4 linked regions of the Arabidopsis thaliana genome follow. The protein of the gene in region 4 interacts with the protein of the main gene of each other region in a pairwise test. Each region holds a gene or a part of one and is shown on either strand. Other genes may lie near its edges.

The links.
Region 1: the proteins of ZFHD1 (region 4) and NAC019 interact in a two-hybrid assay, tested with the Arabidopsis thaliana proteins (one study listed by BioGRID).
Region 2: the proteins of ZFHD1 (region 4) and HIPP20 interact in a two-hybrid assay, tested with the Arabidopsis thaliana proteins (one study listed by BioGRID).
Region 3: the proteins of ZFHD1 (region 4) and NAC3 interact in a two-hybrid assay, tested with the Arabidopsis thaliana proteins (one study listed by BioGRID).

What each region holds. Positions count from the first base shown.
Region 1 is NC_003070.9:19,696,388-19,700,271, forward strand, and holds NAC019 (NAC domain containing protein 19), read right to left. Parts: upstream 2,096-3,884; 5' UTR 2,058-2,095; coding exon 1,877-2,057; intron 1,780-1,876; coding exon 1,511-1,779; intron 1,409-1,510; coding exon 905-1,408; 3' UTR 536-904; downstream 1-535. UniProt on the Arabidopsis thaliana protein: Transcription factors that bind specifically to the 5'-CATGTG-3' motif.
Region 2 is NC_003070.9:26,802,596-26,806,234, forward strand, and holds HIPP20 (Heavy metal transport/detoxification superfamily protein), read right to left. Parts: upstream 1,698-3,639; 5' UTR 1,352-1,697; coding exon 1,192-1,351; intron 1,026-1,191; coding exon 727-1,025; 3' UTR 502-726; downstream 1-501. Other genes in the region: AT1G71060 (Tetratricopeptide repeat (TPR)-like superfamily protein), read right to left, coding at 3,056-3,639. UniProt on the Arabidopsis thaliana protein: Heavy-metal-binding protein. Binds cadmium. May be involved in cadmium transport and play a role in cadmium detoxification.
Region 3 is NC_003074.8:5,232,599-5,236,707, forward strand, and holds NAC3 (NAC domain containing protein 3), read left to right. Parts: upstream 1-1,858; 5' UTR 1,859-2,132; coding exon 2,133-2,313; intron 2,314-2,406; coding exon 2,407-2,675; intron 2,676-2,780; coding exon 2,781-3,284; 3' UTR 3,285-3,598; downstream 3,599-4,109. UniProt on the Arabidopsis thaliana protein: Transcription factors that bind specifically to the 5'-CATGTG-3' motif.
Region 4 is NC_003070.9:26,180,309-26,184,105, forward strand, and holds ZFHD1 (zinc finger homeodomain 1), read left to right. Parts: upstream 1-1,847; 5' UTR 1,848-2,161; coding exon 2,162-2,890; 3' UTR 2,891-3,238; downstream 3,239-3,797. UniProt on the Arabidopsis thaliana protein: Transcription factor involved in the up-regulation of several stress-inducible genes. Acts as a transcriptional activator by interacting with MED25 and NAC proteins. Involved in increased drought tolerance.

The sequences.
Region 1 (3,884 bases), 6.5 Mb from region 4:
TCAGCGAACCACATATATTCAGTAACAATGTGGCTAATGTGTACTAGAGATTGTGTTAACGCGCACTCTAAATCAAAATAAGAACATCTCGAATAGTTTAAAACCCTTTTTGAGTATTCTCATCCTCTTTTGAACTAAATGGTTATTTTTGGTACTTTCAATTCTTTATTTCGTTATTTTAATGTTTTGAAAACTCTTTATTAGAGATGTTCTTAAACTTTTACATGATTCATGTCAGAAATTAAATTTAAACTATTAGGTCGGATTTTCCTAGGTACAGTTAAAAAATCGAGTATTCCGTGTTTTACTCTTATCATTCATACCCTAATTGCAAACGCATTTAGTCGACCCACAATAAACATGTGTTTGAAACTTGTACGGTATAAACTGTTTCTCTACAATCTCTTGTCAAGATGGTCAAACAAGCAAGCCCACGTTACACACCTAAGTTCAGCTAACCCAACGCTCCTTTTTCAAATACAGTATATACAGTAAGTCTCTCAATTTGTGGTGTGTTACTATATATTCGTAAACAGAAAAGATTTGTATGTAGGTTTATGATTACATAACGTATGCTTATATTAAAAATGCATGAGATAGTTAAATATATTCTTTTGGATAGCTCAAACAATTAAACTTACATGTATAGCTAGCCACAACTAAACAATATATCAATATGCAATTTCAATCCACTAAATTTATACCAATACAAAGATAACCAAACAGCAACAAAATAAAGTTACGAAATCTATTCGTCAAATTTTCTATGCATGAAAGATTACAAATCTACATCTAAATCTATGAGTCTCCCTCTTAACCCAAAAGAATTGAAATTCAAATACATATAAGATTTGCCACGGGACAAAAATTAACGACTTATTTTTATTGCGTCAGCATTTCATCATCACATAAACCCAAACCCACCAACTTGCCCCGAATACCCAAACGAGTCAACACCATAACCCTTTTGAGCTAACTCGCCCGAGTTATTAAACCCGTGACTGCTCTCGACTTCCTCCTCCGTCTTCAGGTAGCCACAGTTGTACTCGAGATTAGGAACAACATGACTCATTCCGAGTTCCGGTACCGAGTTATTATGCTCAACATTACCGGCAAAACTAGCCCAATCGAAGTTAGAAGTATCCGCAAGACCGTGGAACCCGGTTTTCTGTTCGGTTAAGTCCGGTCTGAGCGACGAGATGCGGTTTGGGTTAGAAAACTGGAAATTTCTGTTGTCGATCTCTTGATGAAACGAATCAAGAACGTCTTCAAAGTGAGAAGAAGACGACGTCGTGGACGAAGTACCGTTGTTGCTGAATTCTCTAGCATTCGCGATTCCATTATCGTAAACTTGTTTTTGTGCACTTGATTGCTTCTTGTATATTCGACATAGAACCCAATCATCCAACTAAAGAAAATTAACAAGAATATTAATTATAGGTCATTCAAAACACTACAAGAAGAAAATATAAGATATAGTATTTATTAATGTTTAGATTTTATTTGTTACCTTAGTGCTTCCGTTTCTACGAGAAGGTTCAATGAGACGATACTCATGCATGATCCAATTGGTTTTAGTACCTTTAGGAGCTTTTCCGATGTAAAACACCAAAGCTTTTTTAATACCAACTCTTTGTCCTTCCGTCGAGATTATTTTATCCGTACCCGTAGCTTTCCAATAACCCGATCCGGCAACCCGGTTAGGTCTTGACCCGTTTGGATATTTTCTATCCCTAGGACTAAAAAAATACCATTCTTTTTCTCCAAATAATGCTTTATCTATAAATCACAAAAGAAGAAAAACCAAGAAAATTATGAATCTCTGTTAAGAAAAATAAACATTTTTTGAGAAGGGTTTCAATTAGTATATACTTACTTGGTAAAACCCATGGATCGAATTTGTAAAGATCTATTTCGGCGATGAGCTGAAGAGAGAAATCGTAACCAGCTGCTTTTCTACAGAGATATTGAACCATAAGCTCTTCATCGGTCGGGTAAAATCGGAAACCCGGTGGTAAACTCAATTGCGTTAACGGGTCAGTTTCTTGGATACCCATATTTTTTTCTTTCTTTCTTATTTTTGACAATAATGTTTGGGTCTCGTGCTACTTATATATGGACGCAGTGTATAGGTGAATCCACCGCCGCTGATTAACGTGTGTACTGAATATGGGACCCATTTTTGTGTTTATCTATAAACACTTTTGAATTCTGACACGTGTGTCAGTTAGATCGTCGTGATTTATGCAATCCCTTGAGTTCATTGAACCTACATGAGTAGATTTAGCTCTTCCTCGTACTATTTTTTTTAAATGGTTTTTTTTATTAACATTTGTTTATTCATCTATTTATCAATAATGTTCCGCTAAATTTAAAAGTATTTTCCAATCAAAATAAGATTCAAATGAATGTTTGGAAATTTGCTGCTTAGACATTTGGAGTTCACATATAATATTTAATTTAATCGAGATTTTTTTCCTAGGATTGTCTATTTAATTATTTAAGTAATGTAAAACAAATTAAAAAAATGATTTTCGATTTTCCTTTTAGGATTTTTTTTTTTTTTTTAAGGATATTTTTTATTTACAAAGTTTATTGTCAATATAGTAACCAGACGACATCTAAACCACAAAACATTATTGACTTTATCTTGGTCGATTTAATCAACATTGAACCGTCCATGTACTTTTTGGTGGTCTATATATTCGTGTAGGGGACTGAATTTCAGAATAAAGGAACAATTATTTGGCCAAATTTGTACCCAAAAAAAAAAAGATTTTTTGGCGAAATGATTGAACAGTAACCATGAAATATGTGAACTGGTAAAGGAAGAGATATTTTATTTCACGTGTTTTTTGTTGACGGGTTTTCTGAAATGTATATGTGCCAAATGTTGTAATAAGAAGGACACGCGTAATGTTGTGGTAGGGTAAGGGAAAGAGCTTCGAAAAAAGCGAAGTTGAAAGGACAAAGGAACTGTTCAATGTATCTTAGGTTACAACATGGAAAGCGTTTTCCATACGGACAAAACTACATCATGACGACACGTGTCCACGTGTCTATCGTAGAAGTTAGGCGCAATTTGTCATTTGTCAAAAAGACGTTATAACGATGGGAGAAGAGAAAAAACACGAGTTGATGTTGACTAAAGATTTTTTCAATTTATTTTTGTTTTCAGAAACATTAACAAACACAACTCGTAGTAGCTGCTTCAAAGCTTCATAGTATCTTTTTTAAAAAAAATATAGGGTAAAAAACTTCATAGTTTCTTTTTTTTTTTTGTGAAAAAAAAACTTCATAGTTTCATCATTTAGTTCCATGGTTTTTAAAAGATAGAACCATATATAATGGTCGCAATTTTTGTTTAATTTAGAAATTGGGTGTTATAGTATAAAAATCCATATTGTTCGCTCGGAATATGCTGTTTTGAGTTGGAAAGTGAAGTATATAATTGACTAATTGAGCATGTTTAGAACACCTAAATTCCACTTATAACCATTAGATCACATAGATACCACGATTTGGATAAAATCCTTGTTGGATAATGTATAAATTAATATTTTTATCTACATTTTTAGTGTCGGTTTCACCAATATGTCTAACTAATTTAAGGACTTAGCAAAATTATTTGTTGAGTTTTATGTAAATCCACCATAGATAAAACATCTTAACCGAAAAATAAGTAATCCACATCAAGTTTGCATATAATATAATCGAAATTGAAATTAGCTATAGACCCTATACATATATTCAGATTTTGTTTTATAAGATCACGTATTGATGTAATTTTTTTTGTCTGTATTTATCCATTGATTAGTTTTCATGCAGTTGTGGTATTTCATAAATGAAAAAAATTTACGAATGAATTTTTCTTGAAATTTATA
Region 2 (3,639 bases), 620 kb from region 4:
AGTTAATTACGGTTACTACTAATTTTCTTGATTAGTTACGCGTCATTTTCTAAACCTAAAGTCATTTACTAAGAAAGTTATGACTACAAATACCTTTCTTTTTTTATGGCTGCATCATCAGCCGCATATCTACTTCGATTGAGGAACAAACTATATTTAATGGCTCCGAAGAAAATCTAGTTAAACGCTGTTGGATCTTCTATGTGTCAAAAACTACGTAATGGAAGATAAAATATAGAGATAAAAAGTTGATATTTTATTATCTGATGATGTATGGATTTCACTTGGCACAGCCGCATAGATTACCACAAAACCACTTCACAACACTTTTTTCGCTGACTAATTTGCCTTCACAAAACCAACAAAACTCCAACAGCACGTAGCTTTTTGTTTATTTTCTCTTAATTAATTTTTAACCAACCTGAGCACTTAACCGATTTTCCTTTTTTCGTATTTATTTTTAAATAACTTCAATTAATTCCACTAATATAATAATTTGCATAATCGTAAATAAAAACATAAATCACCCGAAAATACTTTGATATTAAACACATTGATTATACACATTCCACTAACTTATTTTGAAATATTGAAATTTTTACACAACTAGCTATAGTTGGTTCTTCCTCTCTGCATTAACATAACAAAAAGAGAGAGAGAGAGAGAGCCAATTGCTTGATAAAAACGTTACATGCTGTGGATAATACTACTAGAGTAAATTATTTATTACATAACGGTGCAAGCGTTGGGATTCTCGTCGCTAAAAAGAGAAATGTAGTGGTTCTCGGGAGCTCCCGGCAACAGCTGCAACTGCGACTGCTCAGATTTCCTGACATAACCGGCCGGAGCTTTTTTGTCGTAAGTTCCGACCGCGTATGGATATGCGACCATGTTGTAAGGAACGTACGGCCATATCTCCGCTTTTTTCCCTGTCCTTTCGATTCTCTTTAATACCTTCTTTGGTTCCACGTATCCACTCACCGTCACTTTATGTATCTTTCTATTCACCTCCACCGATTTCACACCTGCGCGATTTTTATATTGATATAAAGACCGTGTTAATTTGGCTTGTTGTATGTAGAAATGGTTTGGCGTGCTTACATGAGTACTCGTTTAATGGAAATCAAAATTACAAAAAAACTTACAGAAACCATTCATGACATAAGTAGTCTACGAGTTGGAGATTCGAACCTTTCATGGAGGAAACCGCGTTCTTGACTCTGCGTTCACAACCATCGCAGTCCATTTTCACCTTTATATTCACCGTCTGCATGACTTTCCGCTTCCTCCTTTTTCTGGTGACGCGGAAGTAGTCGGAGATATACTCGGAAAGAGAATCAAGAGCTCCCATGTCTATTACTCTCACCAAGAAAGATCAGAGATGCATATATTATGGACTGGACTTGACCATATTTATAGCAAGTACATGGTGACTTAATGGACAAGTGTTATGCCGAGGATTAAGTACAATTAAATGTGTTTAATATTCGTAAAGTGTAATTAGAGAGATGTATATGTGGCCCTCTAATGATGTTTTCCTCCAAATACACACGTTGGACAACGAGGCCAATGTTTTTGGGCTAAAGCACACGACTCCCGCCGATTTCTTTGTTACAAAATTCTAATATCCGTTTTATATTAAAAAGCTAACTATAATAATAATAATAAACAGAAGAGTTTGTAGTTATAATTTCTTTTTTTCTAACAATGTCCGATCGGTCGTTTATAATAAAACAATGTCACGGGATTAGAGGTTTATCATCCACATCACCTGAGTCACCTCAAAATTCACATGCGTCAAAGTTAATTCATTGAGAATGGCAATTATGGTTGTGTAGATTCTTCTTTTACCATCTAATCTTTTTCTTTTACAATTTTGTTTATGATCATTTTCGTCGTATACATATATATGATGTCGGTATGTATATATAAGTTTATGAAAAAATTGTAATCGTGTATTGAAAACGACATGACCCTTCTAATTAATTTAACACTTTTGTTACTTTGGATAGGTACACGATCGGATGAATGATAATAGGGTTTATAGATAAACTACACAATCACACATTCAATTATTTCAATTTAGGTCAGAAACAGTAAAAGGGAATAGTTATAAGAGAAAAATAGAAAGGAATGTAGCAATTTAAAGGGCAATGATTCGATGAGAAAAAATAAGGTGTGGGGGTCCGATCTTATACGAAGTAGACAACTCAATCAAACTATTTAGGTAGTCTATAGTTTGAAATAAGAATTGTTATAAAGCCCCTCCACATCTTTTTATTATGTACATTTAGACATTTTTGTTTTTTGCTTTATACTTTCCACCCTATAAACTTCGTTGGCATTTTCTTCTCTTACACCCCAATTATCATATTCTTCTTAGACCTCTTTTTTTTTTTCCTTTTACAAAATTATATTTTTTCTATTTTTCTCTTCTAAGCTACTCAACACAATTGATCGAATTTCAATTTTGAGTTAAAGTACCCCACGAGTAATTCTTGAAAAAAATTCAGCAATATACTAAAGAGGGGTGTTACCGATATGAAGTTAATTCCATAAGAGGGTTTCATTGAAATAGCCAGTGACAACATAAAATCTCGAGATTACCAAATCGACAGCTATTATATAGCATGCCATAGCATTTAGCATAGCCTCACTTTCAAAATTAAAGGTTACTAAATCAAGGAAACATAAGCTTTGATCAATGGATTATGCATGTCCACATCCTTCATTTACAAAAAAGAACACAACAACTGTTTTTAACTATCTACTATTTGTGAAAAGAAAAAATCATCATAGCCCATTCAATTACTTTGACCCATTCTTGTTTGTTTAATAACATTGACTTGTCCATTTCTCATAACGAAATAACAGTGTTTTCTATATGGTGACTACATCATACACTTTTGCTCGGATAGAAAACTGTCTCTAAATGCTCAGAGCTCTGAAATTTTGGATAGATCATAGATCATAACTATTCAATAGTCCAAAAATATCAAACAAAATGTAGTAATAGAGATAAACAAGAAGAGAAAACAGAGCCATGAAACCCACTTCAGCCAACAAGTTGGGTTTTCCTCAGCCTATCCATCTTTACAACCAAATCCGTGACTTTATCTTTCCGGCCTTCATCGAGAAGTGTTTGTTTAAGACGGCTAAACATATGTCCCGGTGGCCTAATACCCACATCCAACATCTCATTGAAATACTCACAAGCCTCGTCTAATTTGTTCTCATGGCACAGAGCTGTGATCAAACTTGAGAACATGTGCATTCCTGGAAGAACACCTTTCCCTTTCATCTCGTCCCAAATCTTGATCGCCATATCCAATCTCTCTTTGTTACAAAACATCCTCACCATGATCTCGTAAGTACTCACCGTCGGTTCACAACTCATCGTCTGATAAACTTCATACGCTTCTTTCGAGCGCTGCATTCTAATCAAATGATGAAGAATTATATCATAAGTTCTAGCATTTGGCCCAACCCCTTTTAATCTCATCTCATCAACGGTTTTGTATGCGTCTTCCATTCGCTGTGACCAGCAATAAGCACCTACTAGCGCATTGTAAGTAGGTGCTTCAAGAGGAAACCCGGAACTCTTTGATCTCTCAAAGAACTCAAGAGCATCATTCAACT
Region 3 (4,109 bases), on a different chromosome or scaffold from region 4:
ATGGATCAACACTTTTAGCAATTGGGGATATTGTACTATTTACTGGATTATGCTTGTGGAGGGAGCTCATGGTGCTCCAGATTATCAAATTTTATATATGGTAGAAAAATAATTATACCATTACAATGTAAAGCATTCGAGTTCGAATTTCATTGGCGCACTTTGATTTTATATAGGAAGATTGAGGTTAAGTTGTAATAAGTGTGATATTCATATTATTATTGGAAGTTTATTGGTTTAGCCATATGGTTTATTCAGCAAACCATTAACTAAACTCACATGTCAAAAGTTGAAACTTATACCACCTTGATATCCACGTCATCAATTCTTAATACACTTTTGTATTTTGACCCAAATTTACGGGGTTACACGTTATGTAATTATGATATATGCATGACATACACGTTATGATATATGCATGACATCGCTAAAATAGCATAATGTTAATTAGTTATCTAAAACTAAAGACCTGTGTGTGGATATTATCTTCCAACATTAACAAAAAAATCCCGAAAAGGAGAAGAACAAAAGCTTTTAAAAAAACTTTGATCACCCCGTTCTATACCAATTGATGTATCTTTAATGGAAGAGAACCATTATAAATAGAAACGAATTAACACCAAATGCACCGTGACACGAAAGATATTGAGTGTAAGAAACCCCAAATTCCTTGTTATATTCGCTTAGAATTATTTTTACAGCACCATGTACATGTGATCACAAGATATCAATTAAAGTTAGCTAATTAACTTTATTTTTCATTTTTTGGGCTACTAGTTTGCTAATTAACTTTTTACCGAGAAAAAACTATCAGTAGAAAGCCAAAAAATTCAATGAATAAGAAAAAAAAAAAAAAAGCCTAAACTTACATACATATATGATATATCTACGATAAATTTGCTGATAAACGATCTGACTTCTAACTAAGATTCCTGTTTTACCTATTTTAAAAAAAAATCGAGAACCATGAATCAAAGCTCAACTATGTTAATCATGATTGAAATCACGTACGTTCTCGAATGCTTAAATAAATATGTTAATCAATAAACCGCCATAAATTGGTTAAATATAAATCTACTTGCAAGAAAATTGTAATTGAACTTTATTTTCAATTGGTAAAATGTTCCTTTTTCACGTACACAAAAAAGTGTTTGAAGAGAAGCGTGTTTGTGTTATACGGACTTACGAAAATCTTGTGTTCCCATTTCTCAACCACAAAAGCCTAATTTCTTGGTACCTCTGATTGTATACTATCGTTTCACAATTACAGTTTCATCTGATTTCAATCAAAAATTACAGTCTCATATGGATCAAATAGAAAAATAACGAGAGTCTGCATCATCAACTCGTGTTTGTTGTTTGTCCCTCTCTCTGATCTTTAACGGCTTTTGACGAAAGAAAAATATCCCGCCTAACTCAACCAATAGACACAAGACATGTGTCGGCTTGTGGTAGTTCTATCCGTATGAAAAACGCTTTCCATGTTACCATCCAGTGAACTCATCCCATCATTCACTTACACGTGTTTTTTCTTCTTGACGACCAAAAAAAAACAATTTGGCACATACCCATTAAAAAAAAAATACTTCTTATTTTTCATAATACTTTTCGTAGATTGTCACTGTTATGTAACTCATTCATAGAAATTTACCGCGTAAATTGCATGAAAAATCACTAGTCTTAAGAATCACCTAATTTGTTTTTCTGAACTTACAAATATTCGCAAATTACTTTCAGTTAACTCCCTAATACTTGGGAAGACCATTGACAATACAAAAAAAAAATCATAAGAGGAGGTACAGTCACACACACAATATTACAACATTACTAATATAAATAATCAACTTTATGGTATAGGTTCAAAGAACCAAAGGGATCGCATAAATCACGACGCTCTAATTGATCCACGTGTCATGATAAACATAAAGTGGGACCCGTATTGAGGCTGCACGTTAACGAAGATTGGGCGGCGGTGTAATATTATATTATATATATACATACACGAGTAGCAGAGCTTCGAAATCTTTAATCTCAGAATACAAAAAAGAAAATCAAAGAAGATAGTTTTGTGATTGTTTTCTATAAAAAGTGCAGATATTTTCTTTGTCCTAGAGAAAGAGGTGATAGGAAAAATGGGTCTCCAAGAGCTTGACCCGTTAGCCCAATTGAGCTTACCGCCGGGTTTTCGGTTTTATCCGACTGACGAAGAGCTGATGGTTGAATATCTCTGTAGAAAAGCCGCCGGTCACGACTTCTCTCTCCAGCTCATAGCTGAAATCGATCTCTACAAGTTTGATCCATGGGTTTTACCAAGTACGTATAACCTAATAACCTTAACCGTGTTTGGTTTCTTTGTAGCTAGTTATGTTTTTTTCTCTTCTAACTTGTCTTTTTGGTTCTTTGTAGGTAAGGCGTTATTCGGTGAAAAAGAATGGTATTTTTTCAGCCCGAGGGATAGGAAGTATCCAAACGGGTCAAGACCTAATCGGGTTGCCGGGTCGGGTTATTGGAAAGCCACCGGTACGGATAAAGTTATCTCGACGGAGGGAAGAAGAGTTGGTATCAAGAAAGCTTTGGTGTTTTACATTGGAAAAGCTCCAAAAGGAACCAAAACCAATTGGATTATGCATGAGTACCGTCTCATCGAACCCTCTCGTCGAAATGGAAGCACCAAGGTATAAATTTAGTTAAATACATGATGTATCCAAAAAGATAAGTATATAGTAATTGTAATTATACTGTTCAACGAATAACATATTTTAAACTGTTTTTATGTTCAGCTTGATGATTGGGTTTTATGTCGAATATACAAAAAGCAAACAAGCGCACAAAAACAAGCTTACAATAATCTAATGACGAGTGGTCGTGAATACAGCAACAATGGTTCGTCGACATCTTCTTCGTCTCATCAATACGACGACGTTCTCGAGTCGTTGCATGAGATTGACAACAGAAGTTTGGGGTTTGCCGCCGGTTCATCAAACGCGCTGCCTCATAGTCATAGACCGGTTTTAACCAATCATAAAACCGGGTTTCAGGGTTTAGCCAGGGAGCCAAGTTTTGATTGGGCGAATTTGATTGGACAGAACTCGGTCCCGGAACTCGGACTGAGTCATAACGTTCCGAGTATTCGTTACGGTGACGGTGGAACGCAGCAACAAACTGAGGGGATTCCTCGGTTTAATAATAACTCGGACGTCTCGGCTAATCAGGGTTTTAGTGTTGACCCGGTTAACGGATTTGGGTACTCGGGTCAACAATCTAGTGGGTTCGGGTTTATTTGATTGTGTAATGGTAACGTAATAAGAAAAACATATTTTTATTTTTTGTCCGTGTCAGATTAGTTAATTAATATAGCGTAGAATTCGAACTCTAGGGTTAGATTTAGGTTCTACGACTTGTATTGTATATTCGTCGTCATTTGTCCTGACATTTACATTTTTGTAAACTTTTATAGCTGGAACTTTTGTATTGATCAATTATTTATTAGAAAAACAGATATTGCATTGGATCTATAAGTTTTGTACTTGCTATTGCTAACGATAAACGATAGAAATGTGAAAGTTTCCTTATCATTCATGACACATTTTTGTGTCAACATCATGTAGTATTATCATTAACAACGAATCAGCGATTCATAATTTATTATATTAATCGCCATAATATATCGATAATCTAGGAACCATAAAGCGAATATGACTTTGCTCGCTATCGCTCATCGTTTAATATTAGTACCAGCTAAAACGAACAATAGATTTGTCATCATCTTTCGCTGATGACGGTAACCATATCATAGCGAACATGACCAAAAATGTATGTTTATCTGAGATGATTTCTAGCCTATAGCACTAGTATACTTTTGTAAAATATAAAAATACTATTTATATAAACACATGTGGCATAAAGAAATTTCGCACGCGATAGTTGTGTATATATTCATTTATGTGCAATGGCATTTGCAAGCCGTAAGGTTTGAAATAGTAATATTGTACAGCTGTTTAAAGAACGTTCAAAATTTGTTAGAGAAATTGATATATATATATTTAAAAGGATATGGATAAAGATGTTATATTGTTTAATGGGAAAAGGATAGTGATGGTATTAGATGG
Region 4 (3,797 bases):
GTCTTACTTTGTGTCATTTACCTACTTATTCAATAGGTATATACATAGATAGAAACGTTACGCAAAAATGACCCCATGATCATATGACATTTAAAATTTCGGCTACAAATGACTTTTTCTCCAACCTTAGTGGCCGGTTTGCGGGATGCGCGTGCTATTTCGGTCATTGACAAGATCGTTAGGAGATTGTTCTAATCCGTCTTTATGATTCTAATTGTGATACGAGTAAATAAATTGTTAAATCAAAGTCTCTGTCAACGAATTATTAGTAAAACAATAAATACGTTTATTTAATTATTTTTATTGTATGGTCAAATATCTCCCGATTGTTGTAAATTGGATTCTAATTAAGCGTGATTGGTGACTAGGTTTATGATAAACGACAAAACGTAACACCAACTGTTATTCATTTATTCTCCTCGCAAACAATGCTTTAATTAGTCTCATTTCAGGGATCAGACTCTTAACTATACATTAATGAATAATTTATATGCCTTTCAATAAGATTTTAAGTTAATTAAACGAGTATCCAAAGCTTAACGAAATGAATGTTGATGTCTGATTTGTTTTGTTACTTTAATTCTAAAGAGTAAAGACCTTAGTAATTATAATTAATAACAAAATTAGCCATGCAGTTTGATCTTACCAATAACATTCACATGTAGTAACATTGTAACTTATAAGAAAAGGTTCATCATTTTTTTCATGAATGGATCATCATAAAAGTAACAATAACTAGTCACAAAATGTTCCTTCAATTTTTATTTTTTTGATAGAAACTATATTTGTTGTAAAAACAAACCCTATAAGAATCGATATGGAAAATGGCTAATGAAGATTCAAAATAATTGTGGGGTACTTAGAAGAGGAAGACTTGAAGACATACACCACATAATTGTGACCCAAAAGCTAATCAATAACGTAAGCAAAATGCGAAAGAACACTAAATTTCGGCGCCACACTAATGACAAGAAGTGAGAATAAAAGGTCGGTAAGAGATAAGAGTCTTTCCAAAGGGTGGTTAAGGAATTTAGACATTTAAATTTCATGATTAATTACGAAACATGAAGTTTGGCAATTGTCACAACAAACTCTTCTTTGCTCCACGATTGAGTCAAGTATTAAGTATTCGTGCGAAAGAAGTTCTTTTAGAGGTGTTTTCGGTAATCTACAAAATCTTCTAGTTGTTTAGCACTTTTCCTTTTGGAACGAATTAGTACATTAGCATAAGTCAAATATTTCACTAGAACACGTAATACCTATACTAGTAAGAAATTTTATTGACTTTATTGTTTAGTTAGATTATCGTTATAGGAAAATTTACGATTTTAGACCTCTAGATAAGAAAATGGTCCCTAAACAGAATCAAAATTGAAAAGATTAAAACGTTTTAGTATAAAAATGCAGGGGTGATACAGTGAAATTAACAGAAGTATGGGGTGGTAACGTAAACTCTTAAAAATAAGAAACTGTAATATGTACAGTGGAATATGAAACTGCAGGGCAGCTGTAATTGTCCTTTAGTACGATGCATGTAATGGGCTATTGCCACGTATACACTTTGGACTCAAATCTTCCAACTAATCCCATCCTCTCCTTCGAATATATTCGATTAATTAAAATTTTATGTCACGCTCAGAAATTATTCATCTTTTTTATTTCTTTTACACAACAAGTTACCCACTGGTGAAAGTGAAAACCCATATCTTACAAATGTCCCGTAAAATCATTGCTTTCTGATAAGACCTCAGATTCAATATTTTATACAGGTTCAAAGTGTATAGTCTGTCTATATAACGTATGAATAGATATCAAAACTAGTGACTAAAATATTCAAAAAAATCTCTGTTTCACCAAAACAAGAAAAAAAAAAAGTAAAAAAGAAGTTGTGAATTTTCATTGATATACAGTGAGTGTTTTCTTTCTTTTGCTGTATGTTTTGGACGTTTGTGAGTAAGCACTTATTATTATTTTCCAAGTCCTAATTATATTTCATCACTGCCATGTTCTTTACCGATATAATTACATCATCGTCACATGCACTTACATAATTATCCTTTTTTAATAAATAAAATAAAACTACAAAACCTAATCTTCTCATTAATCACAAAAGCAAAAGATTTAAGTAAACACACTATAAAGACAGAACTAAACAAAAGCTATGGATTTGTCTTCCAAACCACAACAACAACTTCTAAACTCTCTTCCCATCGCCGGAGAACTAACTGTCACCGGAGAAATGGGTGTTTGTTACAAAGAGTGTTTGAAAAACCACGCGGCTAATCTCGGCGGCCATGCTCTCGACGGTTGCGGCGAGTTTATGCCGAGTCCCACGGCTACTTCCACCGATCCTTCTTCTCTCCGTTGCGCTGCTTGTGGCTGCCACCGTAACTTCCACCGCCGTGACCCTTCCGAGAATCTCAACTTCCTCACCGCGCCTCCGATTTCTTCTCCCTCCGGCACTGAGTCGCCGCCGTCTCGTCACGTGTCTTCTCCTGTTCCTTGCTCTTACTACACCTCAGCTCCTCCACATCACGTGATTCTCTCTCTCAGCTCCGGTTTCCCTGGACCGTCAGATCAAGATCCAACGGTGGTTAGGTCAGAGAACAGTTCAAGAGGAGCAATGAGGAAACGAACAAGAACCAAATTCACGCCGGAGCAGAAGATCAAGATGAGAGCCTTCGCAGAGAAAGCTGGTTGGAAAATCAACGGATGTGATGAAAAGTCGGTGAGAGAGTTTTGTAACGAAGTTGGGATTGAGAGAGGAGTTCTTAAAGTGTGGATGCATAACAACAAGTACTCACTTCTCAATGGCAAGATCAGAGAGATCGAACATGGCCTGTGTCTGAACACTCACAGCAATGATGGTGATGGGTCTTCATCTTCTTGAAGAAAGATTCAAGATTCGGGTTAAACCGAATTAGGATACTTTAATTTGGGAAAATATGAGCATTAACCGGTTTAAAATCATATAATAGTGTCTTTTCTCTAACATGTAATCGATCTTGATATAAATATTTATGCGGTTTGATCTTTTCTATTTTCATCACTTTGACAGAGATGTGGTCAGAGATCACAAATGGGTTTGGTAATAAATAAGTTTTTAAATCGGAGGTTGAAACGAATTTTGATAGACCATTTCTAATTATAGTAAGTGCATAAGCGCTAATTGTGATCGTAGAGATCAAAAGATTCGTTTCTTTGTTTACTTTCTGATTATTCAATGTTATCTTCTGTATTATTAGAAATAAATCTCCTGAACTTTAGAGATAGAGTAAGTAAAGTTTGCTTAATGAAGATACGACGACGTGGTTATTACGAATTGCAACAAACTATGGCGTGGCGGAATATAATTAGGTCACTGGGCGGCACATTTTTGTTGTTAATTTATATGATATGATTAAAAGTTATTAAAATGCTGGCTTATCTCTTTCCATTTAGGGATAAGCTTTGGCAACACCAATCTTGCTTATTTATCCTAATTAAGTACAATGCAGATGTTACGATTACTAAAATATCTACTATGTGCAATGATTTGGCTCTTCCCGCACCACTGATATTAAAAATTCGTTTTTTTTCTTTCATTCATCATGTATTAACGAATCATAGCGAATGCTTTATCACGTATAAATGGTCGTAAGTTCAATGCCGGAGACAAAGTATTTTACCATGTATGTACGAAGTAACGAAGCCCAAGCCTTAACAAAAGGCCGGTACGAATATCCATGCCAGATAGATCAATGTATGCAAAAGCTCTATGTAGATACGAGTAACTGCATGCAATGATTAATGATCAA